Drosophila melanogaster: one gene and its partners. The protein of the gene in region 1 interacts with the protein of each later gene in a pairwise test. Each region holds a gene or a part of one and is shown in the gene's direction. Other genes may lie near its edges.

The links.
Region 2: the proteins of trsn (region 1) and intr interact in a two-hybrid assay, tested with the Drosophila melanogaster proteins (one large-scale study listed by BioGRID).
Region 3: the proteins of trsn (region 1) and CBP interact in a two-hybrid assay, tested with the Drosophila melanogaster proteins (one large-scale study listed by BioGRID).
Region 4: the proteins of trsn (region 1) and Cluap1 interact in a two-hybrid assay, tested with the Drosophila melanogaster proteins (one large-scale study listed by BioGRID).

What each region holds. Positions count from the first base shown.
Region 1 is NT_033778.4:10,476,597-10,483,406, reverse strand, and holds trsn (translin), read left to right. Parts: upstream 1-3,295; 5' UTR 3,296-3,368; coding exon 3,369-3,443; intron 3,444-3,496; coding exon 3,497-3,584; intron 3,585-3,650; coding exon 3,651-3,747; intron 3,748-3,809; coding exon 3,810-3,925; intron 3,926-3,981; coding exon 3,982-4,313; 3' UTR 4,314-4,396; downstream 4,397-6,810. Other genes in the region: Pef (peflin), read right to left, coding at 1,818-2,044, 2,117-2,180, 2,238-2,317, 2,865-3,084, 3,144-3,152.
Region 2 is NT_033777.3:28,787,605-28,794,189, forward strand, and holds intr (intrepid), read left to right. Parts: upstream 1-2,917; coding exon 2,918-3,814; 3' UTR 3,815-3,857; downstream 3,858-6,585. Other genes in the region: CG34295 (uncharacterized protein), read left to right, coding at 2,013-2,879.
Region 3 is NC_004354.4:7,333,678-7,344,695, forward strand, and holds CBP (sarcoplasmic calcium-binding protein), read left to right. Parts: upstream 1-3,674; 5' UTR 3,675-4,038; coding exon 4,039-4,179; exon of another isoform or gene 4,180-4,573; intron 4,574-6,626; coding exon 6,627-6,839; intron 6,840-7,517; coding exon 7,518-7,826; intron 7,827-7,896; coding exon 7,897-8,130; coding exon of another isoform or gene 8,131-8,889; 3' UTR 8,890-9,054; downstream 9,055-11,018.
Region 4 is NC_004354.4:22,540,527-22,548,143, reverse strand, and holds Cluap1 (clusterin associated protein 1), read left to right. Parts: upstream 1-3,821; 5' UTR 3,822-3,920; coding exon 3,921-3,942; intron 3,943-4,008; coding exon 4,009-5,175; intron 5,176-5,232; coding exon 5,233-5,526; intron 5,527-5,584; coding exon 5,585-5,694; 3' UTR 5,695-5,758; downstream 5,759-7,617. Other genes in the region: CG17601 (uncharacterized protein), read right to left, coding at 352-1,014; CG17600 (uncharacterized protein), read right to left, coding at 6,326-6,799, 7,076-7,204, 7,258-7,384.

The sequences.
Region 1 (6,810 bases):
GCATGTTCAATGCCAATGCCCATGGAGGATCGGCCAGCTCGATTCTAGATGCCCATCAGGCCTTCCGCAACCTGGAGTTTACACTCAGCGATTATGGCGGCAGCAGCAGCAATGGCAGCACCACCAGTCCCAATGGCATCGGCCTGGATGGCGAACCCGTATACGAGTGCCGTCACTGCGGCAAGAAGTATCGCTGGAAGTCCACACTCCGGCGCCACGAGAATGTCGAGTGTGGCGGCAAGGAGCCATCGCATCAGTGTCCCTACTGCCCCTACAAGTCGAAACAGCGCGGCAATCTCGGTGTCCATGTGAGGAAGCACCACACCGATCTGCCCCAGCTGCCCAGCAAGAGGAGATCGAAGTACTCGATGAATCGCGAAAACGGGATGAGCGGCTCCATGTCCGATGACTCGCAGGGCAAGCTGATCATCGACTTCAATGGGAAGGGAGAGCTTGAAACCAAATAAATTTGTACGGGGACCGAGTGATGCTTCCATTTGATATACAATATATTTTACGTCTGGTGTCTTGTTTTGTCCATTGGATTTGTGGAAATTTATTTCTTGTCATTCATGTGTCATCCCAAATATTTAATGTTTACTTGTAGTAATTTATGTAATGTAAGCAAATGCAAGCCAATCTAATCAAGCATATAATCAAATTAGTCTTAAAGCCTTTTTTCTAACGATGCATTTATGCGTTAAAGCATCAGTTAATATCTCTTAAATTGTATAAAATGATCATTCACCAAATGTCAATTTTATACTTACGATTAAGTGTGCAAAATATTATCAAACAACACTCAAATATTTTCTAAGGTCTCTACTATTTAAGATATCACGATGTTGTCCAGAAAAAAAGTATTTAGAAAGGGTTCGCCTCGCCGTGTGCGTATTTCCAAAAAGTTCCCAGCATCTTGCCCAGAAACCCTCTGCCATCCAACGATCTCTTGACTTGGCTTGATTAAGCTACTAAGACCAAAACTTTTGGTAACTACTCGATAAGCTCAATCGATGCCATTTACAATGATATACATTATGACTGAATTAGTTAAGAGAATTGCATTGAACTGACAACTGAACAAACCATTAATTAACCAATTGAAAACCAACTATTCCTCGCCCTGAAGACATTCGTTTCATATATTTATGGACTTTAAGACTGAGTTTATTGTATCTTAAAAATTATTAACCCATGACCAAAAAAAAAACAAAAAAATTGGAACATTGTACGATTCCCAAACCAAAAACCAAACACTTATTATGCCTAAATGTTTTAACTGATATTAATGTTTGTATCTTACCATTAAGCTTGTGTGCCGTCACATTGAATCGCCCGATATTTTATGATTGTATACTTAATAAGATTATAATTCCTAACTGCATATCACGTGGTCTTCACCGATCGACGAAGACACGATTACGAACTGTGGGCAGTGTGACTGCTAAAATAAGACATGATTTTATAATGAACTTTTCATATACAATGTTTACATTTTAAATAAAACGCAGATATCTTTTAATTTTTAAAAATACGTGTGTATAGTTTATTATTAGGCGCAAGAGACTTTGTACTATGATTATTGAGTCGAACTGCGTTAACAAATACTTTTGAAATTTGATTCTGATACCAGGAGATTGCAATATGACTGTGGAGTGATTCATTTACATATTAAAAAGCTAACACCGTTGAAAATTTAAGAAAAATGCACCAGTCGCGAAATTTATGATCATCCACTGTTGGCTGTAGTGTGTGTGTGTGTGTGTGCAAGACTGTGGAGATGCATTCCCATGGAGCGGTTGCATTGAATCATTCTTTCAATACGAGCAGCCAATGGCCACGGTGAGGAAGTCCTCGAACCCAATGGTGATGGTTCCATTCTGCTGGGTGTCGCGCTGCCTGAAGGCCTCCGTGAAACGCTGCACCTGCACGCAGAGCACTATGAACTGATCCACGGACACCTCTTTGTGGCCCTGGGGGTCGCTCTTCTTCACCAGGAAGTTTATGAATTCGGGCGAGAATCGAAAGCCCATCTGGGTGAAGGCTGCCAACAAGTTTGGTAATTAGTGTAAAAGGCCATAAAGGAATTGGAGATTCAGTTGTTGTGTTAGCTTACCTTGGGTCAGCTCCTGTTCCTCGATATGTCCAGAGGAGTCCTGATCGTAGGTCTTGAAGACTTGCTGCAACAGTGATACAATGAGTCAGACTACTTAGTTTCGATATAAGAAATACCTTACCAGCCATTGGTTGATGTAGTTGTAGAGCTTCTCGAACTCATAGATATCGATGGTACCACTGGCGTCGTTGTCGAACATGCCTGTTGAGTAAATTAAAAAAGGCGATAAAAATACAACATAAATCGCAGGGTAAACAAACGGAAAAGTGTCTGGCGCTCCAGGTGATCTAAACAAATATGCATGTACCCTAAATTGGGGCAATAAATACAGTGAAACATTTATAGCCGAAAGTATAACTAAATTGATACTGACTGTCTGTTAGGGGAGTACTGACGTCACAGTTTCCGGAAGGGGAATCGAAGGAATTTTAAAGTATTTCATAACTGAAGCTTACTTAGCTATCATCAGCTCACAGGATGATCTAAATATATGTGCCCATGTGCCCTTCATTGGTTCTTGGCATACAGCGGGTGTGCTAGGCTACGCATAGAAGATTCAAATCGACAACCTGTTCTTGTGTTCTTGTGTTACTATATTGCCTACCAAACTAGTTTAGCTTATGATCGTCTTTTAGAGGGTCTACTGTATAGTATACAGTGTATACACGTTTGTTAGTGTTCACCTACTGACGTCACAGTTCCTGTAGAGGAAACTTTGGGATCTTTTTTGGGCAGGGCTTAAGCTTACTTATCATCAGCTTGCAGGCATTATCCGAGAAGTGATCGCCACGCCCATTCACCAGGGCCGCCTGCAACTCGGAAGCGTTTATCTTTCCAGATCGGTCGCGGTCCACCATGGAGAACCATTGCTGTGCCTGCGGAGACACCTGGGCATTCTGCGGCGGAAATGCTCCTGGCGGCGGGGCATAGCCACCACCGGGCTGGGCATACGGGTTATAGCCTTGTCCCTGTGGATAAACGGTAGTAAGTACATTTAATCCACTTTCTTAAGCATAAACACACTCACATAAGACATTTTGTCACGAGCCTAGTTCGATTCTAATTGGAACTTGAGGGACAAAACAATTTTAATGAAACTACAGATGACAAGAAGGGCGTTCACCAACACTGGTTTGGGCAAGCGATAACAATGTGACATATCGATAGCATTGCTAGACTTATTGCTTGGCTATACTCCCATCCCTATCGCCGGTATAAACAACTAACAAAAGCAGCAAAACATTAAGCAAAAATGTCGAACTTCGTGAACTTGGACATCTTCTCCAACTACCAAAAGTACATAGACAATGAACAGGAAGTCAGGGAGGTGAGTTGACGGTTAATATCCTAAAAACCACCATCTTAAACCATTGTTTTTAGAACATCCGCATTGTGGTGCGCGAAATCGAGCATTTGTCAAAGGAAGCGCAGATTAAACTGCAGATTATTCATAGCGATTTGAGCCAGAGTAAGTTCTGTACAATTTGGTAGCTTGTATGTTTTGTTCTAATATGACATTATACTTGAACAATAGTTAGTGCCGCCTGCGGCTTAGCCCGCAAACAGGTTGAGCTGTGTGCCCAAAAGTACCAGAAATTGGCCGAACTGGTGCCAGCTGGGCAGTACTACAGGTGAGTCAGATGGTGAAATCCGTGGTGTCTATTGTGGGTGTCGAATGCTCCGCCTTCTCCAGATACTCCGATCACTGGACCTTCATTACGCAGCGTTTGATCTTCATCATTGCCTTGGTTATTTACCTGGAGGCGGGCTTCTTGGTCACCCGCGAAACAGTGGCCGAAATGCTGGGATGTAAGCTAGATTTGGAAGGCTCTCTGGATACGAAATAATAGTTAATTACTCCACAGTGAAGATCAGCCAGTCTGAGGGCTTCCATCTGGATGTGGAGGACTATCTACTGGGCATACTGCAGTTGGCGTCGGAGCTCTCCCGATTCGCTACCAATTCCGTCACCATGGGCGACTACGAGCGTCCCCTGAATATCTCCCATTTTATTGGTGACCTGAACACGGGCTTCCGTCTGCTGAACCTGAAGAACGATGGCTTGCGAAAGCGCTTCGATGCCTTAAAGTATGATGTCAAGAAGATCGAGGAGGTCGTCTACGATGTCAGCATACGCGGTCTGTCCAGCAAGGAAAAGGACCAGCAGGAGGAGCCGGCTGTTCCTGCAACCGAATAGTTTACTTCGTACGTAGGATAAGGCGTTTATTAAAATGAAAAAGTTTCATTTAAACAAGCAAATATATTACATTCATTAAACAGAGTATCATTTTATTTTACTATTTAAATCAGGAATGCTCGTAGGAATCAAATGTAGCAGGATATATGTATGTAATCCTGTGTTAAAAATCTGAAATGTGTTTTTGTTTTTTTTCAGAACACATTTCTTTACATCTTAATAGGCACCATCTTATTTTAATGATCAGTTTACACAGAAGCGAAATAGTGCTTTGAACCATAACAAAAAAACATAAGTTTGTGCAACTTAAAGGTAATTAAAATGGCTGTGCGCGTTTTGATTAAATCATAACTAAGTATACATAGAGACAAGTGCAGAAGTTTGATGGCTTAACCCTTTTGAAACTTGTTTAGCCACCACCACTGGGCCGCAGTTGTTGTTGTTGCCCCGATCATATGGTGGATTTGTTGCTGCTCTTCTTTGGCCGCTGCTTCCGTTTCGCCTTTGCTTCTGCTTCTCAGGCGCAGTTTCAGTCTCTCTTTTGCCACCGCAACGCTTACAACGTTAACATTGCGCGCGCGTCTTTGCATTTTCTTGTTTGCTGCTTCGTCGTCCGTCGTCCTTCCCGTGTTGTTCTTATTGTTTTTTCCCGCTTTGTGCGCTCTTTATTGTTTCGCCCTTTCTAGCATTTTGATTTGAAAGTGGAGACTGCAATTGGTTACCATTTCAAGAAAGTAAGTCTGGCGGGCAGTTGGCCGTGTGAAAAGTCCGTTGGCCCAGAAACTCACCCGCTCTCTTGACCACGCCCCCTTTTCCGTCCCCGGCCCGAAAAAAAAGCTAAAAACTGAGAGACTCCAACCTGTTTGGCAATAATTGGGTCACAAATCTGGTAAAAACTTGTTGCCCGAAATGGTCACTAAACAAATAGCACTGTTTTTATTACAAAACTTTAGTTGAGTCTGCAGTTGCCTTGTTGTTGTTTGTTTGTTTTAATTTTTTTATTTCGTTCCGCAGACATAGTTGTTGTTTGGTGTTTTTCAAAACACGCTTTAATCGAAGCGGTTCAAAGTCCGAAACAAGTTTCCTGAGAGGCTTAACGGGGCACGCTCTCTCCTTGTTGCTCTTTCCCCTCTTCTTACAACGCACTGAGTGGGAGGAGAGCGAGAAATACTGAGAGAGCTTTCGACGTAAACATCTGAAAAGCAAAACCACAACAGACACCCACACACTGACGGGCAGGTGTTGCTCTCTGCGTCTCTCTTTCTTCCTACCCCCATTCCAACTTTCTTGCATTCTCATTTCGAAGGGAAAATGCCAAGGAAAAGCCCAGCCGCAAACCAACAACAAAAAGTCAATATAATAAACCCAGAATCCGAGTGCTAACTGTTATGGAAAGTAGCGAAACCATTAGCTATGGACCTCCTTCATTGAGTGTTTTGCTTGCATACCCGGCAATTAAAGACTTGCAGGGTATGTGTATTTTCAATACATCAAAAAACAAAAAATAATATATAGAATATATTTTAGTATCGAAAAAGATTTAAAAAAAATTGAAAAATTTTAAAATACGCCCTAATATTAGTTGTATTCCTCAAAGTCATATTTTTTTGAGTATCGTCTACTGTAAGTATTCAATTAGTAGTGGGTATGTCTTGAGACAAAATCATTTTAGTAAGTTTGCTTGTTTATTTCGCATGGTAATTACACGTTTATAGAACTATTAACCTGCATTGAATATGGTTGTCAAATAAAAATATTAGGTATACCTTGTTATGACCGCTTTTAACGACCACACTCAACCAATAGTGTGTTACGTTTTTAAGTGTCGCAGTACTTCAGAAATGTTCACAGCACTTTTAGTTCAATAACTCATGTGAATCCATGTAATAGTGGATATCTTGTAGTCGAGTATCTCAAAGATACCCCGCTCGCTTTATCAATTTTCGTTGCGCTGGCCGCGGCAGCTGTGAATGATTTGCAAGGGGTCCCAGCGCAACTGGTTCCCAGCGCCTTTGTGCTGCCCCTCGGAACCCGACCCTCCAGAGCCACCAATACCTCGATCGTACCGCTCTCGTTAGACATGCGTGGCTGGCTGCCTCTGTCGTTCGCAGTCGCCGCACATTTCAAGTTTGCTACGGTTCAAAGTCCAAACCCAAGATACAAATACCAGCACCAGCAGCACCATTTCGTTTTCATCGCAGTGGTTATTTTAAATCGAAATTCTCCAATCTGGGCACACTTTCGATGGGGGGGGGGGGGGGGTTACGAAGATCCCGGTCGTGCGATAAGCAGACGACATTTATGCCAGGTAGACACTTCCAACGCGTCACCGATTGCACTAGGTTATTCTGACAGCAATCACCTCTTATCGGAACCGCGTGCTCGAGCAATCCTTATCAGACCACCGAAATTGCGTACCACTGGAGTTCTCACAGGCCCCCCGCCACTGCGATTATTGGACTTTCAACAATAAATAGTGAGCGATAGGTTTTATCGC
Region 2 (6,585 bases), on another chromosome or scaffold:
AAGCTGCTGCAGCTATTTGTAGTCCACGCCGTTTGCTGCCAAGCTATGTTGATGTTTGCCAAGTTCCTTCTTATTTCGAAGAAACAAAGGTCCATTTCGTGCCACCGCAACCCATCTGCAGGAATCACTTGACTCGATTCCGGATTTAGCCGAAGAGTGTTGTTTAAAATGCGTAACCATATCCCGGCCATGAATTTATGCAGTCAACTGTGTAAAAGGCGTAAAATGTCCAAAGACCATCAGTGACATCGAGGGTGGTGCCTTGGCTTGGCGGGGCATTTTGTTTTGGTTGAAGGAAATCGCCGGAAGGACTACTTCTCGAGTCGCATCCAAGCGGCGGCCTCTCATTTATTTCATGCTCCATTGCATTGCGATATGTGTCAGGAACCGTGCAATCAGACACTGGAAAAAATTAATGATAAGAAGTTTAAGACAAGGTAAGCCAAATATAATATATATAATATTTAATCTTTTAGTGGTTATCTCAAGCTTGGAACGGAAATAAGATCATTCCGTGAGGCACGCTGACTACCGGCAAAAATCGTCGTGCTTGGAGCCTCAATGTTTCCTCCCAGTAGTGTCATAAAAAACCAAAAAGAAAAATATACATTTGTTTCCTGTGCACTAGGAATAACAAGAGCCTGGGATCTACGTAAGCCAGTGTCTTAAAGACAGCGTTTTTCCAGATCCATCTGGGACTTGTTTGGCCAGCTCACTACTCGCACTCGTTGTTTTTATTCAATTACCAATTCGAATTCGAATGCTGTCATAGCCTCACTCCAGTTCCTCGCAAGCAGCTGCAGCCGTTTGTCTTGCCAATTGGCCGAAGCCATCAACAAACCGAACCCAAGCGGAGCATTATTGTAATTCAGGCAGCTACCAACCAACCAACCACTCGCTCTCGATTTTAAATTGTTTGGAAGTAATAAAAAGTTTATCAAGTGTAAAGCGAAAAACAGCGCACGAAGCCCTTGACTTTCGGCACTCGGTGTTAATTGTTTGAGCTTTAAGTTGGGAAACGGTGCCACATTTCAAGGACCTGGTAAAGTAAAGCTCCCAGGGCTTTATTCAAGGCGAAAGTAATGCAAAACAATGGGCTCGAAAACCACCCACCAACACAATCACTAGCACAAAAGCGGAGAAAGAAAGACGCACAACAAATAAATCAATTGGCTTTGCCTAAAACGTTTGAAATTGATTTCAAGTTCTTTGGCCCATTGTTTTTATATGCAACAAAGGGACAATTTTTCATTTCCAACGATAACAATAAAAGCAACACAAGGTCCTTTTCATGGTGGAACACACTGGGATAGACACACACATGCGGTCGATCCCTGGGCATGTAAATTGGCCGCATTGTTTATGAGCTCTGCTATCCTGCGTGTCCTCCAGCCTCGTCCTTCGAGGGACTATTGATTGTCAATTCAGTTTAAGCGCCGCCCATAAATTCAGTAAATGAGCAGAGGTCCAGCCGAAGCTGCTGCCATTTTTCTTAATTTGCTGAAATGCACAAAAACAATTTTCGATTTCCACGAAAGACGCCCACATCGCGAATTCGAATTCAATGGTTGATAGTTTGCTATTATCCTTAATTTCTACAATATTTTTATTCTTTCATTTCATTTACCTAACACATTTTAAAATATCCTTTAGATAATCTCTAAAATATAGTCACTTGATTTGATTTAAAAACATTTTTAAAGCTAAACGATGAGGTAATATTACTTATCATTCTTAAACCCCCAGCCGGAGAGCCAAAAGGATATCGAGTTGCACTTCAAATGTTTGTGTGCCCTACCTTTGTTTGGTCATTAGACCTGACACGTTGTCAACACGCAACAACTGCCAACAACTGACAGCCGTCAACTGTTTATGTTTGCCATTTAGCAGGCAAAACATTTTGATTACGCATACGCCATGTGGATCGAAGCGACGTTTGTTGCTTTGACAGGCGCCTCGAATTCCATTCGCCCATAAATAAAAGTCATCTGCTGGTTATCAGTCGATTGGAGATGCATTCGCTGCTTGTTTGTGTTTCAGCGCTTTGGTTTTGTCAGCTTTGCGAAGCGGCGATTGGAGCTCAACTCTGCAAGGATTGTCGTGTGAATGTGATATATCCTAGTGGCGGAAGAGGCAACCATCAGTTGTCAGAAAACCGTCAAATAGTTAGAATCATCAACAAATACAAGCCAATCAGAAGGCAGGAACTGGAATATCAAAATGAGATCGGGATGAGCCACTTGCAATTCAGCTTTATTGCGAAGATAAAGGTGGGAAATGCGGTACGATGCAGTGCGGCCTTGGTGGCTCCCAGTTTGGCCATCACCTCCAGTAAGTGCTTTTCAAACGACTCTTTCAAACCGCTGCAAATTATCTTCACCGGCGGAAGAACTATCGCTGTGGATAATGTAGTCAAAGCGGATTTCTGTCCTGAGCTTAGCATTCTTCACTTGAAGAGGCCGTCTGAAATCAATCCAATTGCCCTATGCCAATATGACGTACCATTGGGCACAAGAGTATCAATGATGATGGCCACTTCGGATCTCAGATATTACGGCCGTCGAAGAACTGAAATAATCTCAAATCGTGCCTGCAAGACAACATTCCTGGAAGAGGATTCAGTTTTTATAACTCCCAGTATGCTGTGTGCAAAGAACTCAATGAATCCGGAAATGTGTGCAACTTCTCCAGGTGATGTCCTACTTATAGACCATCAATTATGTGGCTTAAACGTTTATGGATTTCGCTGTTTTCAAAATGCACTCAATGGTGATCTCTACATAAGTCTAGGCAAACTGCAGCCCATGATCGGCGATTTGATCCGGAAACTTAATGGTTTAAGTGAAGAATTTAAATCAGTTACGGGGAAAGAAACCTAATTGTTGTGATTTGAGACTGAATCGGTTGAAATGTCATAATGCAGCTTAGTCAGCTAGTCATAATATTAGCAGTCTCCCGAGGATCAGTTTACGGATCTTCTGAGACCGCTCCGCAGTTTAATGTGGGTGAAATACCCAGCAATGGACAGCCCTATCAGATAGTTCGTGTTATTGAGTATATAGTGCCCTATCCCTACCAGAGATCACCGAAAATTTCCGCTAGATTCTCAAGCGGAGGCAACAAAGAACCCAACAGCCTAGAGATAATTCCCGCTGAAATCGAGACTCTCCTTACCGATGGACAAGCCACAACAGAGGCACCAAAGGCAGTGAAGCATTTCGTTATGCGAATCCTTTATGAAAACAAAGTCATTTGCAGTGGTGCTCTAATCTCCACTCGTCTGGTTTTAACCTCCGCCCTCTGTTTTCCCAGGACTCTGCGTCAACCTCCACCTCGTTCGTACAAACTGCAGGCTAGTCGGAGTCGGATATATTCGGTGGCCAATCTAATTACCGGCGCTATTGAGGACATGGCCCTATTACTGCTCCACGCTCCACTGGAGGATCCCTTCGTCCATCCGATTGATCTCTGCGAGTCACCTCTCCGAAGGAATGACAATGTAACCATGTACATGTCACAGCAACATCTGCGTTTCCTGCGCACCAAACTCATTCCCAATAGCAATTGCAAAAGGAGCTATGCCCAGGATGAGAACGCCTTCATCACGCAGACCATGTTGTGCGCCCTTAATTCAAACCGATTGGTGGACTGCCAGACGGCAAAGGGGGATGTCCTCCTCCACCAGGATCGGTTGTGCGGAGTGGACATTTACGGGCAACACTGCTCCGATGGTGGTGTCAATGGAGAGCTGTATGCGGACGTCTTTAAGGCCCGGACTGAACTGATGCACTTGATTGAGCGTTATTCGAATTAAATGATTTAACAGGGAAATTGCCGAATAAAAAATACATTAACTTAGTTCCTTTCCAATGGTTGTTGAATAAAAATTTTTCAATAACATCTGAAAGTTAGAGAGTGAACATAGATTTACTGTCGCGATTCAATGTTCGTGCGCTGCCCAAATCGAATCAATCTCACTAAACAAACACTGAAAACAAAAGGGCAAAAAAAATCGCAAATAAAATCAGGGGATGCCGCCTTCTGTTGGTCGCGGGCAAAATTGAAAGTCGCCACCAACAAAATCAGAGAAACACAAAGAGCACAAGCGATGTTTTTTTAACATTTTATTTTCTTTCAATTTGCGGCTTAAAAAGTTAACTGTTTCCATCAAAATGCCCTGAACTGCAATGACTATGATGTATGTAAATTTGAGCGAAAAAACAAATGGCAAAAAACGAAAATTGCGAAAAAAAAAACACACAATAAGAGACACAAGCGCCACCCAAACCCTCTAAAATCATCATGACAGGAAAAAGGTGTTACACTTGGCTTGAAATTTACACCGTCGATGGGCGGGGCAGCAAGGGGGCCTCTGCGGCAAAAAGAGGAAGAGATGGAGTCCTGCGAAAAAAAAACCCAAAGCTTCACCGGCGGCCATGGATACGTAGCTGGCTTTTGGCTTTGCCTTTGCGCTAAAATATGCAATTTTGTCATGAAATATGCACATGTCCACCGCGCGGCAAGGACGAACCGTCGTGACACCCACCGCCACCCACCTACAGCAGCACTATCAGCGGCGGCAACAAAATAAATTTAAAAGGCAACATACATAAATAAATTAAGCATTTAAAAACCCAGCGGGAATAATGAAAGCTATAAAAGGCTTAGGCAGTGCGAGTCTGGAAGTGCCCTTTACAAGGATTAAGGTAATTATAAAAAACTTAATGGGAGGTAGGTATGAAACGCTGCCAAGGAAAATCTTTGCCATATAAAATGACAGCGAATTAAAATAGCTCTTCAATTGAGGTGAAGACAGGAATGATATATGTACAGCCCAAGATATAATCCAATCAAAAATTGACCAAATCAGCTAAATCTATAGTGCATCCAGAGTATCTATGCGGTCTAGAGAAAAGTTTCCATAACTTTCCCACCAGCCACGCCCACCATTTGACATTTAAATGCAACGAAGCCTGTCGAAAATGTTGCCGCCAACATCATCGCGAACAACTAAATTTATGTACATAGAAATTAATATTAAAGAAAAAACGAACAGCGTGTATTTGTATAAAATAAAGGATGCCATAGTGGGTGATGGTATTGGTGCGACACGGGATAATATTGCAATTGAAAACAACAAATGGCATGAAAAAACTTCAACACTAGTTTGATGATAAAAACAATAAAACAAATATATATTCCATTTGACTAAAAATTGCCGCCCCGTGGGAATTCGCGGGGCTAAAGCGACACCCCCAAGCCAATTGATCCACTTTAGCCACTTCGCCCCCGCTTTTCAGTGACCCGCTGACCTACCGCAAATATGGGAGATGAGCAATCGAGTGGACGTGTTCACAGAAGTCGCGGATAAAACAAAAACGTAATTGTGATCCATCACAAACATTTGCGCAGATCGTGTGCTTATCTCACAAACAAAATCTATTTTTAGTCACTGCATAACGGTGACGGCTTCGGTTCGCGAAACTTATCAGCAACTAGCAATTTCTAAGCTGTGTTGTTTTTGCCCCTCGCCCTGCGCGCTGCGCAAGCGGGAGGTTGTTACAATTTACCTTACAAGTAAACCGGTAAATCTTATCGTGTTTAGTAAATATCAATTGCATTATACGGCATAAGTATAAAGACAATTGATATAATGGAGAATTCATTTGCTCAATCGCGACCTAGCAATGGGTGCGATAAATTTGAGAAAATGAGGAAAGTAGCAGGTGTTGAGCCAGGAGAATTACGCTCCCAACTCCGCGCCAGCTGTGCAGTTGTTTCCCCTAACCTGGAAGGTATGCCAACTCAATCTACGGTCTCCAGCTTAATGGTGACAATCAGCAGCAACACCAATGCAAGTGTTACCTGCACTATTTCTAACGTACAGGCCAACATGATCTGTACTCCTACATACACTGATTGCACAACCGTGACCACTAGCATTTGCCCAACTACGCCTTATGACAATGGACTGCCGACACCTCTGTCATCACTGCCCAATAAGCCATCTAAAGCGAAATGCCCCTTTCAAGCACATGATCGTACTGTCAACAGGAAACGAAAAGGCGTGTCTCAGCCCCCATTACCTATCCTCACCCCTTCTCCAAGCCGTAAAACTAAAAGGCAGGCCACTATGCCACTCAATGAGGAGGCCTCTACCTCCACTGCAGCAGCATTAAATAACAATCGCTTCGCGCTTTTGTCTGCTGAAGCGGAGAATATGGAGCAAGACGTGTCGGATGCTGATTCTGACATTGAAGACTCTGCTGCCCGAGATGGTGGTGGACAATCCGCTAAATATAGCAAACCCCCAGCCATATGCGTACCAAGTGTAAGTGATCCGGTCACCTTGGAACGGGCTCTTAATCTGAGTATTGGCTCCTCAAACTACTACATCCGCACCTCTAGATTTGGTGTATCCAGAATCTATACAGCCAACCCTGATGCTTTCCGCACCGCTGTAAAAGAACTAAATAAGTTAAATTGTCAATTCTGGCATCACCAACTTAAAGAAGAAAAACCCTACAGAGTAGTGCTTAAAGGAATCCATGCTAATGTTCCTAGTTCGCAGATAGAACAAGCATT
Region 3 (11,018 bases), on another chromosome or scaffold:
GACAAAAAATACATTTAAACAAAAACTATACGATTACAAATTACGCATTTTCAAATTACAAATATGTAATGAATGCATTTTTTAAAAAGCAATTCTCTAATGTAATTATCAAGCAGTAATATTTAAAGATATTGAAGTATATTTGTAAAGGAGTTTCATTGTTTTTCCACATAAAATTTGGAGTGTTATGAATTTGAAAAATCGAAGACCTACGACAACAACGTGGAAAAGGATGCGTTGCAAGTGGCACGTAGTCGCTGATTTTTTCTTGTCTTTTTTTTATTTTGTTTTCTGGTGGTGCAGGCAACTGGAAAACTCACACGCACACACACCAATGCACGACGCAATTAAATTTTATGACATTTTATGTAAAGTCGCAGCACGACTTCTCTGCCGACGTTGGCGTCGTTCCTCTGTCGCCGGTGTGTCGACGTGCCAAAATCCGCATACTGAAAGAAAAACTAGTGAACCCGAAAGATAAACAACCCTTTTGCTTAACCCTCCAAAGACCCGTGAGAAAGACTGTATGCACTGACCAAAAAAAGAAAAAAAAACGTACGCAAACAAATATAAATACAATTTCCGCTTTGTATCTGAACTCAAAATGATTCTTAGACCAATACCTATTATGTGAATGTTGCATTCGAATTTAATATAAACATCTGTTTTTGATGTGATAAGATGAGATTATTTCTTTTAAATTTTCTCCAAAAACTATGTTTAACAGTTGTCATTTTAGAGGGTTAAACTAGCATCCAATGCGAACAAGAATAATTTCTGCCTTAATTCTTTTTTTAAACTTTTTTTTTTTTGAGCCGGCGTTGGGGCGCAACACGTACGCCAAAAAAACAGAAAGCCAGGGGGAAAACAACAACTGGCGCACTCTCGCACATCACACACATACACATACGCACATCAATATAAATGGCGTTGCGGAAATCTGAAATGGCATCAAAACTGTGGAACTGCGGACCTTGAAAAGCGCGACAAGAAATACTAGAAACGCAGAAGCAGAAAACACAACATCACAAATTCGTGGAGCACAAGGCTTCCACTTCGAGACGACGAGACGAAACGATCTTGTCCAATATTCTCGGGTATCTCGAATAGCACACGTGTGTGCGTGTTCCCGCTCGACAACGATCCACCCATTTCGATTGGATCCCCCGCCCAAAAAGACAAATGAAACAGAAGCAAAATCTTGGGAGCGGACTTACAATTACAATACAGTGGGCACTAGCTAAGATGGCAATCAAATATAAAGTATTAAATATTTTCAATTATGTTTTAAGAACTCTTGATTATAGATATGTACATACATATCTACATATGTATGTAGTATTAAATTAAAGTATTAAATTTAAAGATTTAAAATCTATTATTTAAGTAGTAAAGTTTTTGTAAAGGTATTTCTACTGTTTTTTTTCACCTTTTTCGCGCGCGCGTTTAAATTACGCATTTTAATTTTCGGCAATTGAGTTTTGGAGCTACTTATGTAGATGTCATGTGGATCGTGGGTGTAATGTTAAAAGCTATTTGTGACGTCATTAGTCGTGTGTCTCCAATTTTCGTTCTTTATTTGTTTATTTGTTTGCAGGTGCAGCAGCAAATAGATTATAATTTATGTATTTGTAGCGGGCGCATGCTAAACTGCACACACTCTACACCTACATATGTACATACATATGTATGTATATACTACATGGTTGGAGACCCTGTTTTGGTGGTCATATGTTTGCAGTTGTTTTGTGTTGCTTTTGTTGTCCCTGGACCTGGTGTTACGTGACGGTCGGAAAGTCAGCAGACAGCCGATGCGCCGGTTGTTCTCGTTCCAAGCACACGTCCACCCCGAAACAAGTGACGTTTATGCATTACTGTGGCTAATATTATGAATAGGTATTATCGAGATATCAAATACGCATCTATCACAATAATAAAATAATAGAAGTAATATTTAACTTTAAAGGAACACAGACAAAAGCAGAACGTTCTAGCAGATAGTATGTATGTATGTATATGTATGTATAGATATGTTCCATTATCTTTATAAACGGATTATGTTCAATTTATCTCGAGTTCACCGCCGCATAATCCGCTTTGGAAACTTCCCGGCTGCTCACATGTTTTGGTTTTCCGTCTGTATTTTCAAGTTTTTGCCTCCGCAGAGTGCAGTGCACTCCGCTTGCCGCATTCGAAACGGTAAAGTGGGGGGCCTTCGATTTTTTTTATTTTGTACGTAAAGTGTTGCACTTCTTGCGGGGAACCAGTGCTTGCAAAACTATGGGGGATTTATGAAAGCATTGATCTTGATGGGCAGTAAAAACTATTAAAATGAACCAAGATTAAAGGGAATTAGTGGAGCTGATAATTCCCTTTAATTTTTGCCGGCCACTGATATATCCATTCCGAATCACTACCCCCTTATTAATTTTTTCGATGGTTTCTTTTTTGTTTTCGTTTCGATGCAATGTTTTTTGGGTCCAAGTCCACTGGCGCTTATTTGATCAAGACTATTATACAATCTTACACGTATGTACAGCTGTGTATGTATGGGTGTCCACAGTGAAGGTACTAGAAATAGTGCTCCGTTGCGAAGAATGATCAGCATAGTGCATTATGCTTTTGGACAATTTGGGTTATAAAAAATAGTTTAAGATACCTTTAATGGTGGTAAAATGCCAAGTGCTTGAAATTAATTGGTATGTAACTGAAAACGATCTTTTAATGTTATTAGTTTTAAAGTGTTGTAATGATCCTATAATATTTACCGCACACGTGTGGGTGTAAGCATGCGTTTTGCTGTGGAGCAATGAAGTAGAACAGCAACGGAAAAACAGAAACTATTAGTGCGTAGGTATTTGTGTTACTTCATTTGTATGTGTGTGCGTAGAGGGCACTTTTCGGGGAAGTGCGTAGCGAGGGGGGAAGGGTGTCTTGGGGCATATTGTATTGGACCGACAGTTTGTCACACGCAGCGACCTAAATACGCACATTTTATGATATTTTCATTTTGAGTTTTGGCTTTTGTTTTTGGATTCCTTCGTTTACGTTATCAATTGGAAAACTGTAGTCCGTGTATGTATATGTGTGTGTAATCCCATGTTTATGTAATGCATTTTCTTTGGGCTTTATTTTGAAAACGAATACAGTTCTCCATTTAAGCGAGGTTTGACAATCACTGGGTTTTGTGTTTGTTTTTGCTTCTTCTTGTGCTCCTGCTTCCTCTCCATTTTCTTCTTCAACCGGCTTACATGGTCTTGCCTTTGTGTTTGTACTTACATATATACAGCCAAGGGCGCAAAAATATGAACTAAAAAACTTAAATACTAATTCCTCCGCATCTCTTAAAGCTGGTTTTAACATTTGGGAACGCTCATATTCAAAAATATTCTTGCGACACATATGCATGTGTATATTAATGCAGCTCAAAGTTTGATTTCGTGAACATTTGAAAATGTAACTACTAATATTTTGGCTTCAATAGTGTGTACTGCCTGCTTGTGGTAACCATTCCAAGTAGCAGCTGTTCTCCCTGCTCCCTTCTTATGCTGTCCTCTCCCTCTTCATCACACAAAACCACACACACACACGCGCACTCCCGCTCACACACACTCAGAAAGACCGCTCTGCTTTTACAGGCGTCGACGTCGACTTCTTTTCTTTGCGCAGCGATGGTTTTCAAAACGAATTCGAACGCTTAAGCGAACGGTTGTGTTTACTCCCAAGCAAAGATATCCAAAAAAAAAAAAAACTGAAACCACAGAGAAATCAAAATAGAAATTAGCGGACTCAAAAACAAAGTGTAACAAAACAAAGCAGAAAAATAAAGGCAAACATTTTTTTGTGGTGCATCTTCGAAAAAACCGGTTGTTAAATGCGCGTTGCAATCGAAATAATAACAAGAGTTCAACAACAAAATCCCTAAAAAAAAGCAACGTTGCACATTTTCTCGAGTGCAGTTCAAACTGTAAGGAAAACGTAGCGAAAATTGAGGAAAAATTTAAGAAAACCGAGGTTAAAACTTGAGCGAAAAACAAAATGGCATTCTCCATCGTGAGCCGTGGTATTTTGCGCACTTCAAGAGAAATTCTGGAACGCAACATGGCCGCAACTGTCGGCGTTCTGCAGCAGAATGCCTCCCCGCCCCCAAACACGCCCATTTCGCACAGCGATTGTCACGTAAGTGCATCTTTTCTTTCAGTGCATTGTAGTTAAGGTTACTAATTGAATTGACAGAAACAAGCAGTTAGAAAAACTTAGCATCACAAAGCGGACAGGAAAGAGCAGTTCCTAAAACAAACTTAAAAGCAACAGTTATAAAATAAAGAGTTTAAAACCAGTTCCACAAAAGATGTTCCAACCAAAAAGCAGTTCCGCATGATATAAACTCAAAACAAAGCAGAAAAATAGAATCGCAATTCGAAAAACAGTAAGTGGTGGAAGGAGAACTGTAAATAGTGAGGAAGAGGGGTGAATACAGACAAGCAAGGGAAGTGGAGAATGAAAATTGGGAGCGGGAATGTTCACGAAACGAGGCCAGTGCTAAGTAAACTGTAGCAGTGCATTCGAAACTGTAAGAACTCGAGTTCAATTCTTGATTAATATTAATAGATATTCCCAACTATAATTCTAGCAATACAAGAGAGTTTGGGATTATTAATTCTCTAATTTTTATTAACTTTTCATTCCCGCATTATTAATTTATTGTTGTTAGCAGCAGCATTATATATTGCTGATTTTTGGTTTCAATTGATGATTAACTATAAAATACGTTTAGGTGCTGGCAAATTTCTTGCACATCAATCATTAAAGGGCGCAGCACTTCAATCAATCAATAAGAAATTGAAAACCCGGCGCCGAAAGAGGCATATCCCTCAATGAAACAAATAAAACAAGATACAGTAAGATAAACAAGTGGAAATTACACACAAAGAAATGTTGGTATTGAATCAATAGATTCAACAAAATAGTTCAGTTAATATATAAACATGTTTCATCTTACTCCTATGTTGTTAGCTTTAAAAATACCGTCCAATAGTATTTGCATAAAAGTTTCGGTTTTGAAACGAAATTTATGATATTATGTTGACACAACATACATTAATTTAACCAGCTAAGCCAATATTAATACTTACTGGTATTTTTCACCGTGTATTCAGGTGAAAGCTTGTTTTCCCTTCTCACCGACAACAACCCCCTCATTTTGAAAGTCGGAAAACTGCGCAAATTCTGTAGCAGGAAAATCTTGCGCAAAAGCATTGGAAATTATAACAACAAAAGTACCCCACCTCCCTTTACTTTTTCTCTAACCGCCACGGAAAAAGAAGTTTTAGAATCACAGGAAATGATTAAAGTGATTTTATTCGCAATTTTTCTACTTCTTGTTTGCTGCTAAATTAACATTGACCTGTTGCTCGACTTTGATTTTTATTTGCCGTCTTCTTACTCTCTGCATCTTCCACATATAAATCATTGGCATTGTTTTTTGTTTAATTTTCTTATGGTCGAAACGTGTTTCTCTTTATTTTCGAGACGCGCAGACATTCAAATGAAAGGAGGCCCGTTTTTTGCATTCATTAATTCGTATTTTGGAGAAACTTGTTTACGAAAAAAAAAACACCGAAAAACAGAAACAATCCAAAGTTCGTTTAACCAAACGAAGCAACTGGAACCGAAAAAAGGTCCCAAAGCAGTCAGTCCAATACAATAAGTGTGCGGGCTTTATGATAATGTTATATGGTATGATGCATGATATCATCGTCGTCGGTGGCTGGCAACATCTGTACTTGGATTCTTTCTTATCGAGAGCCATTGAAATTCAAAACGTTTACAAGAGAATTCGGTTTCTTGTAATTAAAAGAGTAGCGAATTTTGTTTTTTATCTTTTCCTAATGGCACAGGTGATGGAAAAAACCTTTCTCCGAACTGGTTATTGGCATCAATATTTATCTTTTTTAATTTTCAAAGTTGCAATGTTGGCAGCAAAGGACATTGAATGTATTATATATGTGTAAAATACCGTGTCCTATATTTACATATATTTTATATATATTGGAAGCTATTTTCCTGCTGGTTTACAATTTCTTCTTTTAAATTCGTTACATACATGATCGCCACGTGGTTTTTTACCATTACCAAGCGCCTCTCAAACTGTAGACCGAGTTTTTTGAGATACATTTTGACAGTCACTCTTTGGCACTTTTAAGGCGAACCAAAGATGGAAAACTCGTAAAAAAAAACAGATAACGACGAATCAGGTTTAGAATTGTTTTGTGAGTAAACAGAACTGACCTTAACAATGAGAAAATAACACGCACAACAAAAACAACACAGGAAAACAGCAGTGCGCTGAGTTGTAATTAAAAACATAATGATTGCTTACACACCGAAGGGCGTCTAGCAACCATATCAACAACAAAAAGAGCATTCAGCATGGGGCTGTGAAAACCGAAATATACACAAAAACAATACAAAACAATAGCATAATGATTGCGTAACATTATTAATGACACGTTAGCATCTCTTTTTTTAAAGCACAATCAAAATGATTATTATGATAGAGAAACTTATCCAATACATTTTGCATTTTCACATTTTTCTAATTTCCTTTTTTTTTCTGATTTCAGCGCCTGGCATCTGGCGGCATTATCTGTGGACATGGAGCACATTCACTGCTTTGGCATCAAATGCCAACTGCCGTGGTCCAGGCTGTCCGTCAATATTCAAAGAAGGCCGGAGCGGCCAAATTGCGACGGGAGGTGGAAAGTGATAGCGATTCCGACTCGGATGATGAGTTCGAGCGTCGTCGCCAGAAAATGGATTCCAAGCGCAGCGAACGGGTGAGTGAACTGCTTGAGAAATGCATAATCCATTAAATAGATCCATAAAACACACGGTCCACGTGGCTGAGAAATTTCAATTGTGTTTGCTCGACAGGCCGAGAAACGTGTTTCGAAATTTGTTTATCGTGCTCAATGTCGTTTTTTGAACCTGCTCTACGGCATTTAAAAAATAGTCCAACATTGTAACCTGGTTAACAGTGGCCATTTAACAGTAGTAACTGGTTTGAGTGCAGACTGTTTTAAGATCAAAGCTTTGTTGTTTGGTTATTAATACGAAATCTTAGCTTTCTCAAAAAAAGCGAATTGAAGCTTAAAGCAGTTGCTTGTATCCTGACTATACTTGCCATCAAGCAGTTCCTTAAAGTCCTTTCAAAGCCTTTTGGTTAAAGCTTCTAAAAGCTCACAAGCAGTCGCTGCGCGTCTATGAGATAAGCTGATGTTAATAAAAGCATTTTAATAAGGACAGTCAAGTCCTGCAAAGCTTTCAAGCTTTTACTTTTCAAGTCCTTTTAAAGTTTGAAAAGAGCAAAAGGCTTGGTTGCAGAATTGCAATGAGCTTTAGAGTTTAAGAAGCTTTTAGCACGCCCTGTGAATGTTTTAAATCAAATATAATTAAAATTTAAAATAAAATCGCAAGGCAAACCAATTAATATGTATATTTTTCCTCATTTTTAGGGCGACTCAGCATTCTGGCGCCGCAAAATGCGTACTCTCCACCGCATTTTGGACGTTAATCACGACGGCGTCGTGTCCTTCGACGACTTTAGTTTGCTGGCCAAACGCTTTAGCGATCTGGGCCATTTGACCCCAGAGGTCGCTGCCGAATTCAACGATGTGATCAAGCATACTTGGGAAGAGCAGTTCGGGGAGATAACCCCATACAATCTGGTAACTGCCGAGCAGTTCCTCACCGATCTGCACCATCGTCTCAACGACAAGAAGATGGCCAAACGCATCGGTCGCTTCCTGCCCTACTTGTTTAAGGTTAGTTTCATTGTTAAGTTGCTATTATCGATAAACAGAAAAATAATTTTTCCGGTTTTTTTTTTCTTAGGCTGTGGACTTTGATCACACTGGCCATTTGGATCTCGAACAATACAAGCTCTTCTTCCGTTGTCTGGGACTGACCGAAGACGATGCTGCCGTTTCATTCGCTGTGATAGACAAGAACGGCGATGGCCAATTGTCGCTCAAGGAGTTTGTGCATTTGGGCCGTCAGTTCTTTTTAACCGAGGACGACTCGAAGATATCGAAAATGTTCTGGGGACCGCTGGTCGCTGATCATTGACGGGTTGCAGTCACTGCTGTAGATTACAATACAACCAAATCAACAATAACCCAACAAAAAAATCCTTACTACAATCAAGATTATCAGAACCATCAACACAACAACGTCCGATGCCATAACATCGGCAACAATAACACCAATGAGCCAATGCTACATTATACATTGAATACGACAACGATGTTGGCCAATAACAATTACAATAAGATAGTGGCCACTTCGTTGCCAACTCGCGTGCAGGCGGCAGGCGGCAGTTGGCTAAATCTACAGCATGTGGCGCCTCATAAATCGGGACCGTTAATAAACATTAGCAACACCACCACGATCGTTATAAGGAACATGAGCATTTACGATTATTTTCGGCAACACTTGTCCAGTTCGAAGCGCCAGCGCTCGACCTTTGAGCCCCATCCATCGCCCACTACGTATCCCGCCTCCAAGTTGCGCAAGCACAACTTTAGTAATTATCAAAAGGAACGGGAACGGGAAAGGGAAGACCGACAGAAAGATAATAATAATAATAATCATCGAACCAAGGGCAAACCATCATTAGATGACTACGATATAAGATTTTTTGTCTACCTTAACTCGCTAATAATATTCACAATGTCGTGCAGTCGTCAATCGGCCGCCGAGGGCGATGACCTCAAGCATTTCATTTGCGACCGGATCCGGAAATTCGATCGCCTACGACGAAAGGCAAGAAAACGCCGCAAGAGAAGGCCCAAAAAGCTGGTCGAGGATCAAATGCACCATTTATAAACTCTGAAAAGTGGAGCTACATACTATTCACGGTCACCCTATTTACCATATAATCGATTATTTTTTTTTTGTCTAGTTAAGAGTTATGTTTAACTGATATATTACACAATACAGCAAGCATGATATAACGGAATAAAAATGATTTTTAAATATACTATAAATAATACGAGCATATATTTTCAATTATTGGGTGATCAAGCGATCAAAAATGGTTTTCCTAAATCTTTGCGACTCTGTCCACTTATAGATTTTAGTTTATTATGTTTAAACTATTTCCCTAATTGCATATAGTGATTTGCTTATGATTATCCTGCTGCAGGTTTATATTTAATTCATATTCTCAATATTCAATGGAGAAAGGCAAACAGCAGACGCTACTTCCTTCTCATTTTATTTTTAAATGCATTTTTTTTAAATGTTCCCTCCCTTGGCATCTGCGGCCACATATCATTATGTAAGCGCCAGCGAAAAGGATTTGCGATATCAACTGAAAAGTGTTTAGCTGGATGTTGCGAGTCTACAAAAAATGTTACCTAAAATAGAAGACGGGTTGAGCTACTTTTCCAATACTCTACTCTACATTTTTAAAAGACTATACACTTTAATGAAATGCTAGGAATAAATATATATCTCCATCATATAAGTGGTGTGTCATATTTTGTTGTAACATATAGTATCAAAATCTAAGACATACCCTTTATTTTGATACAAAATGGCATACACCCAAAATTCTATAGATAGGGCATGAAAAAGAATTACGTTGTGGAAAAGGGCAAGAAAAACTTGTCGCGCGTAAATCTCTGCGATGGCAACCTCCCACAGCCGTCTAGGCTGGCTGACCAGAGCTCATTATGCGCATTTGTGCTGGACGGGATAGAATGGGGGTTCCAGAGGGCTTCCCCCGACATAAGGATGGTACGCCCGTTTCTTTCCTTTACTTCTAGTCCTTCGCACTAATTTTTTTTCCAGCTGCCCCGCAGCCTCTGTTTCCCCCCACCACCGCTCGTTTTTTATTCATTTGTAGCTAATAATTTTAATGCTATTCAAAATTATGTTGAAAAAAAAAAAATATATATATATATATATATATATTTATATTTAAGAAGGGAGGGCTGAGTGGGCGATGGAAGCCATGTGAAAGCATTTTTCGGGACCTCTCACACACACGAGCTGGCGCTTATAAATTGCATTTGTATCTAAAAGGACATTAATTTTGGTTGCACGTTAAAAAAAAACAGCTTTCTTTTTAATTTCTAAACACAAAACAGTGGTTTTAAAATCTAAGGAAGTTTTGTATACGAGTATTAATAATTACTGAAAGATTTGCCTTTGCAATGTTCGTTTTCTTTACTCAAGGAATGCAATCACATAGAACCCAACAAATTGAAAAACGAAATTATCCTTCCAGTGCATTTGTGAGCAAGCAGTGTCCTGCTTTCTGTCCCTTTTGCGCATTTCTTACTCGCTTCAATATTTTATAATTTAATTTTTTTCCTTGAATTTTTTTTTTTTTTTTTGGCTGTGCCACGCACATGACGACCATCGCTAATCCTTTTGCCTCACATATACTCTAGGAAAAAAATCACACACACTTGCACTGCTACATCTTTCATTATGTAAATGCACGCTTTACACATTTTTTTTTTTCAGATGCACTGTCCACTCTGGCAGACCAACCCACCACCCCCACCGCCCATTTTTTAACCATATTTTTTATTTCCCCAACTTGGGATTTGGCCGAGTGTGTGTTTGTGGTTCTATATGAATAAAATATATATCACATACTCACATGTAACTGGTTAAGTACATATGTAACCCGCCTTCGTCGACTCTTCTACTAATTTACATCTTTTACTCTCCTTCGCTTGATTTTTTTCGTGGTCCATCCTCTTCCGTCCTCTATTTGCCATTTCAACGTGTTTTATCGCGTTTTAAGAGCAGTTTTTAAAAATTAAAAGCACGTCCTAAGTCCACATTTGGTCAACAGCTGCTGTCCAAGATGGAAAAGCTACCATTGCTTTTCCTTCCTATTTCCCCCTTTTTTTATTTCATTTAAGTTACAGTCTACTGAAGCTTGATCTAATCTCTATATTATGTGAAATGATTTGCGTTCAATATTCCTTAGCTGA
Region 4 (7,617 bases), on another chromosome or scaffold:
GGAAGGCCGCTAGAAATGTGTTGTTTAAAAAAAATTATCATTATCAATGGTTACAACAAGCGTCCTTAAAATAATAAATCTATTTTTACGGTAATTCATAAATCCACATATTTTTGCTGATTTATTTGCTTTAAGATTACCATTTTCCACGGCAATGATTGCAAATCAATATTTCATCATATTGATCATATCATATTCATATTCAGTTGTCATAATTAAAAAATGAATCGTCTAAGTATTTAAACGAATCCATTTTTTGTGTGTACAAATGAATGCAATGTGTATAAATCCAAGTCGAGTTCGACTTTATAGACCACCATTATTAGCCATTGAATATTAAATATGAAAAGGCTACGTTGCCTTCAAAGTCTTCAAAGTCTGCTGGTCCTTTTCATCTGACGGCCCCTTATCCTGCCCACCGTCTAGCTTCCTGTCCAAATTGCGATTCTTGGCATTCTGCAGTTCTTCTTGGTCGTAGGCCTCTATGCGCTTCTCCAGCATGTCAACCTCTAGCCACAATTGGGTGGCCGAGTTCCAGCGCGGCGGCGGGTCACCATTGATCTGGGCCAGCAGAATTTCAAGACGGTTACGATCCCACTGGTTGGCCTCTTCGCGGCGGTTGCTCACCACAGACTTCAGGTGGTTTATTTGCCGTTCTCCGGAGCTAGCGGTGATGACCCGATCGCTTGCGTCAGCGATTCGGTCGGCCACAGCCTGGCAAGACTTCTCATTTGGACCGGGGAGAAAATATGAGAATGTATCCGGACGCCGATTTATTGTTTCAGTTGCCAGTGGATTGATTGCCGGCATCAGATGGATGGCCAAGTACTGGGACGACAGTGGCTGCGAATCCAGCAGCTTGACCTTGTTCTCGACCTTTTTGCGCTTCGCCGGACCCTTAGCCAGGATATCGGTTTGGGTGCCAACCGAGCGGCAGTTGATGCGCTTAGTGAACTGCTCCACAGTCGCCACACTGCGTGATGCAATCCTCGAGATCCGTTTCCTTGGGGCCATAGCTGTGGTTATGACTATATGCAAACGTCTCTGAGAAAATAAGGTTAAAAGTAAGGTCACAACCTGATAGGGTTTGCTTTTAATATTTTTAATCTGTCAGTGGAAAAGAAAGGTGGAAACCCTACTAAGGCCAATCGGATAGGAACTTTTTCAATACATCACTCGTTAATTATATCAATATTTTATATATATTTTTCTTAACGCCTAACCTTTCAACGCAATGAAAACGGAAGTTTGAAAAAATATATGTACTCAACTTCCTATTGGCTGGGAAGCCCTCTTAACTGTCCAACGCTAAATTGTAGAGCTTCAATCAGCAGATACATACATACATACATATATGTATGTACAACACTTGCACCGATGAAAATCAAATAGAAAGCCTTTTTAAAAATTCGTTTTGGTATCCTTAAGTACATTTAAACATGTTGGTAAATGTAAACCTCTTATTTTACTTACATACTCTGTACATACCTGTGATGTTAAGATACAATATTATGATGTACGGATTCTTCACTTAATAAATAATAATTTAAAAAAAAACCTTACATACTCTTTTCCCATCACCTTTTTGCCGTGCATTGTATTCCAGTAGTTGCTGAGGAGATCTCCAGATTTATTTATTTGAACTCCTAATTTGAGGAATTTTATTTGGGTTGATCATTGATTAATAAGTCTATCATAAGCATGATCTGAAAATATATTTACATTCATATATTTTCTGATCATGCTTATGAACGAGAAAACTTGTAAATCTAACAAATTAAGCTGTCTGCCAATTTCACAGATAAATAACACCTGTTGAGAGCTCTTAGACTTCACACTATTACAATCAATCATTGATTTTTTTAGTTTCTTATACAAATAAATGTTATTGCACACACCATAGATACATATGTATGTGTAACGAGCGGGTTTTTGTCCAGAAATAATTTAACCATAACGAGATAGTCAATAACTAAACGGTATGATATCGATGCGAATAGAAGAGAAAAAAAGTTTGAAAATGCACGCAATAAGCAAAGCACGCGAAGTTTGTGAAAGCAATTGTAATTTCATAATGTTACTCAATTTTTGAGTACAAGGCCTCCAGCTACTGATCGGGTTTAAAATACATTTGTGTGCGCTATAAAATACAAAAAACAAAAACAGTTTGAGCACAACCCCTCAATTATTTAACTATCTGATACCCTAGTATCAGAATATGCGTAGCAAGACAAGGGAGAACGCTATGAATGAGTTCTCCGACTATCAGAAGATACACGTTAGTGGTTGGTTGGTTTTGGTATGTATTTATTCCTTATGCACCAAGACTATTACTTAGTAAAATCCGTATTCCCCATATTAAGCAAAACAAGAGTGTATGATATAATCGAGTTCCCCGACTATTAGATACTCATCGTTACTCAGCTAGTGGAAATGCGAATGGGAAATTTCATAATTTTTCTCGGATATCGATAGATATTGGGAAATAATATAATATTGGCAATTTAAAAGACTAATAATAATATGAAAAAGTATTAAAACATTTAGCAAACGTGTGGGCGTGACAGTTCTAGGCAGTTTGTGGGCGTTAGACTGGGCTTGGGAACATGGGCAACTGCACTGCGTCTACGTCTTTAGAATCTGTATGCTTCTTAACTTTCTTTTACCTTCTAGCTTTTATTGAAAAATAGATAGATTTCTGAGATCTCGACGTTCATACGGATGTCCGGCCGAACATGGATATATTGTATATTAGGAATATATATACAATATATGGTCGGAAACGCTTCCTTCTACCTGTTTCATAAGAATATTACTAAAAGGATATAACAAATTTAGTGCCGCTTTTAGGCATTTTGAATGTGCGCTTGTATGATTGAAACAGGGTTCATTCGACTTTTTAAATAAATAGAGTTTTATTTGGTTTTCATATCCATTAATTGTATAAAAACTAAAAAATTAGAAAATATAAATTCTTGATGAGGATCACAAGCGGAATCTTCCATCTGTCGATCAATATTAACTATAAGCTATATATGTACATATGTATATATGTATATACACTGTAAAAGCTAATGTGACACACACACAGCTCTAGTGTGTTTCAGAACGTCGTCTTGCCCACTATAACGCCCGCAAACTTCCCAAAATATCACACCATCGATAACCCAACAGAGTGTTGAATCTGTGCAATGATAAGTAAATTACAAGAACAATAAAGGATATATAGAAAAACTGAAATTTATGTGCCCAACAGGTCAATTTCAGTTGAGATAGTGGCGCCCTCTGTCGGGTATGCTTAATTTGTAAAAATCCCAATTATCGTATTTCAATAATTCGTTCTTAGCAACTCCTACATTTTTAATGGAATGGAAACCGCGCAACCGTTTCCCAGGTGAACCCCGTGCGACCGTCCACAGCAATCGAATGAATATTAGCCAAGGATAGCAGGGGGACACTGCGAGAAATTTCATATGGCAAGTGATAGTAACCTGTATTTGTTTAAGTATTAAAATAAAAAAACTAAAACCTATTTAAGTTAAAATTAATTTTATTTCGCTTTTATTTTCAGTTTCATGTATTGCTGTTTTTGAGAAATTTAGTACATATATCTTAATTCCTATTTTATGTAATATTTTCTTATTAAAATTCCGTTTAAAATTACCAACATTGTTGTTGACAATAATCTTAGTTTAATATTAATAATATATTTTAGAAATGGATCAATGTTTAGAGTTCGTTATCATATTTTCTCGCTATGCATTTTCCGTTACCTAGCAACCATCAATTTGGGATTCGGTGGCCCAAACAAAAGCTCCAACGACCACAACAAATGACGGTGTTGAAAATGCAATTGCCAGCGCAGCCGCAGCGATTGCAAGCAGCCAAAGAAAAACAGGTGAACTCGTTGGAAGCCAGGAATGTCCTTCAAGGATGTGCGAGGTGCGTACTGACTTCCTCCTCTTACTTCCTCCACCTAACACGACCAGACTGATACTCCACTTCCAGATCTGGGGGAACATCTTAAGCTGTTGGGGTTCCCGCGCGTGTTTCCCCTCCAATCCCTGGCCAATCAGCATGGCAGCCTGGCCAGTTTCCACATTGTTGCCGAGCTCCTTCAATGGCTAGCAGGACTAATAGAGCCAGGAGCCACTTTGCCCGGCGGCGTTGAATCGGAGGAGCAGCGGGTTCTTCTCGTCCGTTCGGCGACCGAGTTTTTTGTGACCAAGGCAGCCATTCGTATTAATCCCCGAAAACTGTATGCAGCCGCTGCGGTTACGGCGGCAGAGCTACAGAAGGTTACCCGACTCTTGACATCCCCAGGACAAAACGAAGCGGACAACGACGAAGAGGACCAAAGGGACCAGTACCGGAGCCTAAATCCCGTGGATATTGGCGATAAAATAGAGGAGTTGCGTAAGGCTCGAGAACTGGCCACAGACCTAACCCAGCGTGGCACAACCATATGCGAGATGCTTTCGAAGGAACTGCTCCACAAGGAATCGCTAATGTCCCAGGCCCAACGACCCCTGGAGCTGCTCAGCGTGGAGCGGACCCTGAAGAGCGCCATCCAAGCTAACCAAGTTCGCCTCCAATCGAGTAGAGCCCAACTGGAAGCAGCCAAGGTGGAGCTCAATGCTCTGGGATCAAAGCTGCAGCGCCGTCGGGCGGAGCTCGAGCGAACCCGCCAAAGACTGGAGGCACTGCATCGCATTCGACCAGCGCACATGGCCGAATTCGAGGACTGTGAGAAGGAGTTGCAGGAGCTATTCCAGCGCTACTTTCTCAGGCTGCATGTGCGCGATGCTCTAAAGTCCCAGCTGGACCTGCGTACTAAACGTGCCACACCTATCTCCTCACCCATTCTGCAAAAGCCCGCCGAGAACTCAATGCCCTTCATCCCGGAGGGACTCATCGAGGACGACGATGACGACGACGACGAGGACGATCTGGATGACGAGGATGAGGGCGATGATGGCGGCAAAGCACTTTCCCGTCTCGAAATGGTGGTCAATGGCAGGAGTGTCTTCGGCCTGGACTCAGAGATACCCGACATACGGGACGAGGACAAACTAATGCAACAAAACAACATGGTTTCCGCCCAGGGAAAACGTCCTGGTACCGCCACCTCCAGGATTAGACCCACAACGGGTAGAAGCAGGAAGGCAGTAGGAGGTAAGGAAGTTCTAATTTCACAAACTTATTTCCCTGCTCAAATAACGAAAATCCCAGGAAGAGGCACAGCCGGCCCGGATGGTGGTAATGATGCCAGGGCAGCCCGCGGCACCAGGAGAGGTGTTGCGACTGGAGGAGACGCCGATGGCACCCAGCTAAACGGCCGCAACGGACCCGGCAGCAGTATGCTCAACTCCCGGGACGAAGACAGCAGCTTCGGGAGCTCCGAAAGCGAACTGGATGTGGGTAAAATCATGGGCATGAGCGGAATGAGCGGAATGAGTGGCATGAGCGCTATCAGCGGGATAAGTGGGATGAGCAATATTGCCTTGGGAGCCGGCGATGATGATTGTAAGTCGTGTAGTTACGCCTTGAACTTATAACAAAACTTTACCTCATTCACCCCTAGTTGATCTGAACTCGATCGATGACATAAGCATTTCAAAGTTAACTGGCGAACTGCCACTTAGACCGAAGACCGCCAATAAAGCGGAGCATCACAGCGATGAGGATTTCTAGGGATAACTACAATATTTATATTTATTTGCTAATTTTATAAACTCAGCCAGAGGGCAGACAGGTTGTAAAAAGTAAATAAAATATTCCCATCAAGCAATTAAAAGATTTCTTTCCACGTCACAATCAAATACGTCACCGTCTCGCAAATAGACGGCCTTAGGGTTCCGGTTCCTGCAGTAACACGAATTGTCTGGCGATATGGTGACTAGTATGATGAGCAATCAAAGTGTAGTCAAAGATGGATTTCTGCATGTACATAGGTAAGTGGGACTGTGCAAGTCAAAGCATAGCCAGGATCCCTAACTAAGTACATCGTTATCTGTATGACTTTAGCTAATCTATTCCTCCAAGAAGCGAGATATAAATTAAATTTGCTTTTGTAGATACGTTATAATCAGTTAATTCAATGCTCGAATAATTGAAATAGTTTGCTTAATATATCTTTATTCGATTAATTTTAATGTGTCTTAAGAGCTATACGCATATGTAAGTACATTGATAGAGTAATGGATATAAAAGGGGTAATTTATCAGACAAAGCCCCACATAGATGGGATTTCGTTGTGGCTCCGTAAAAAAAATATATACAAAAGTCTGGGAAACTGGGAACTAGAGAGCGGATGCTTTTCCCGTCACATCACCACATCCCGGCAAACGATCTTCGTTTTGAAGGATGCCCTCTGACCGCCGTACAAGTCCGAGGAGGCAGACGACGAATAGTCGACGTGACTGCCCGCCTGTGACTGTTCTTGCCTGGCCAAAAAGCTATCAGCTATGGCTCGATCTAGACCCGTATACTGGAAATTGGGAGCACCGTCCAGGACATCCGCTTCCGATTTTCGGCGCTGCCGGCGATTGGCATCAGACTTTCCCGCCCGCCGCCGTCTTCGCTGCCCATTGATCTCCGCTGACTTTGTGCTCTTGTGAGTCCGGTATGTCCCGCTTAGGCTAGCCGGGTGGGCGTAGGTCACGGATCCGGGCCCAGGTCGCATGTAGGGAAGGGTCATTCCACGGTACTGCGCCGGCAGCGGGGGCACGGGAAGCAGAAGTCCAGCTCTGGCGCCCGGAGGCGGAGGTGGCAAGCGTGTGGGCGGTGGTGGTGCCATCTGAATATAGTTATTAGAACAAAAATTGTATTTAAAATTTCAGCAAAATTTATTTGTTAAAAATTCAATATTTCAAAGTAAACTTATCTTTTCTTTCTATGTAGGAAACGAATAAGAAACTTAAATAAAAACTTCAAATTGGGTTTAAACGCACCCGAAATATTCGGTTTCAACAGCCGGAGCTTGGTTCATATTTATATTAAAAATACATATTACTAGCTCATCACAAACTAGAGTACTAACTCACTGGATTTGGTATCTTAGGATTCAGCTTACCCCATTGCCAGCGGTGGAGGGAATGAGCATGATCTGCCGCGATGGAGGCGTCAGTTTGCGGACTGTTGGCGGCAGGCTTCCCATCTGGGTGGCATACATCCACATAGCCGCTAGCTTCTCGGTGTTCACCTGCACGAAATGAAGCTGGATTAGGATAGGTCCCACACTTAATCTAACAGCACCTTGACAACCTTTTCACTGCCATTCAGAGACATCGCCTTGATGTACTGGTCCACCTTCTGTTGGTCCAGAGCGATTCCCGAAGCATTCGACTTGATAATCACGTCGCGAAGCTCACTATGTTCCGACCTGCAATGAAGTAAATAAATTAGGTGATCCTTAGTTATAAGAGTTAATTGAGGTACATATTTAGCAATAAAACCATAGATTAGAGTTCGTAATTCAAAATGTGAGAAATCATGCTAAAATTGCACAAACTGATTTCTTTTATCTAAGGATTTCTAAGTTATAAGGATCGTTCTACCGAAACGATAAATATCCTTTGCGTCTAAATCAAACTCCCATTTATAGATTTTTTTTAT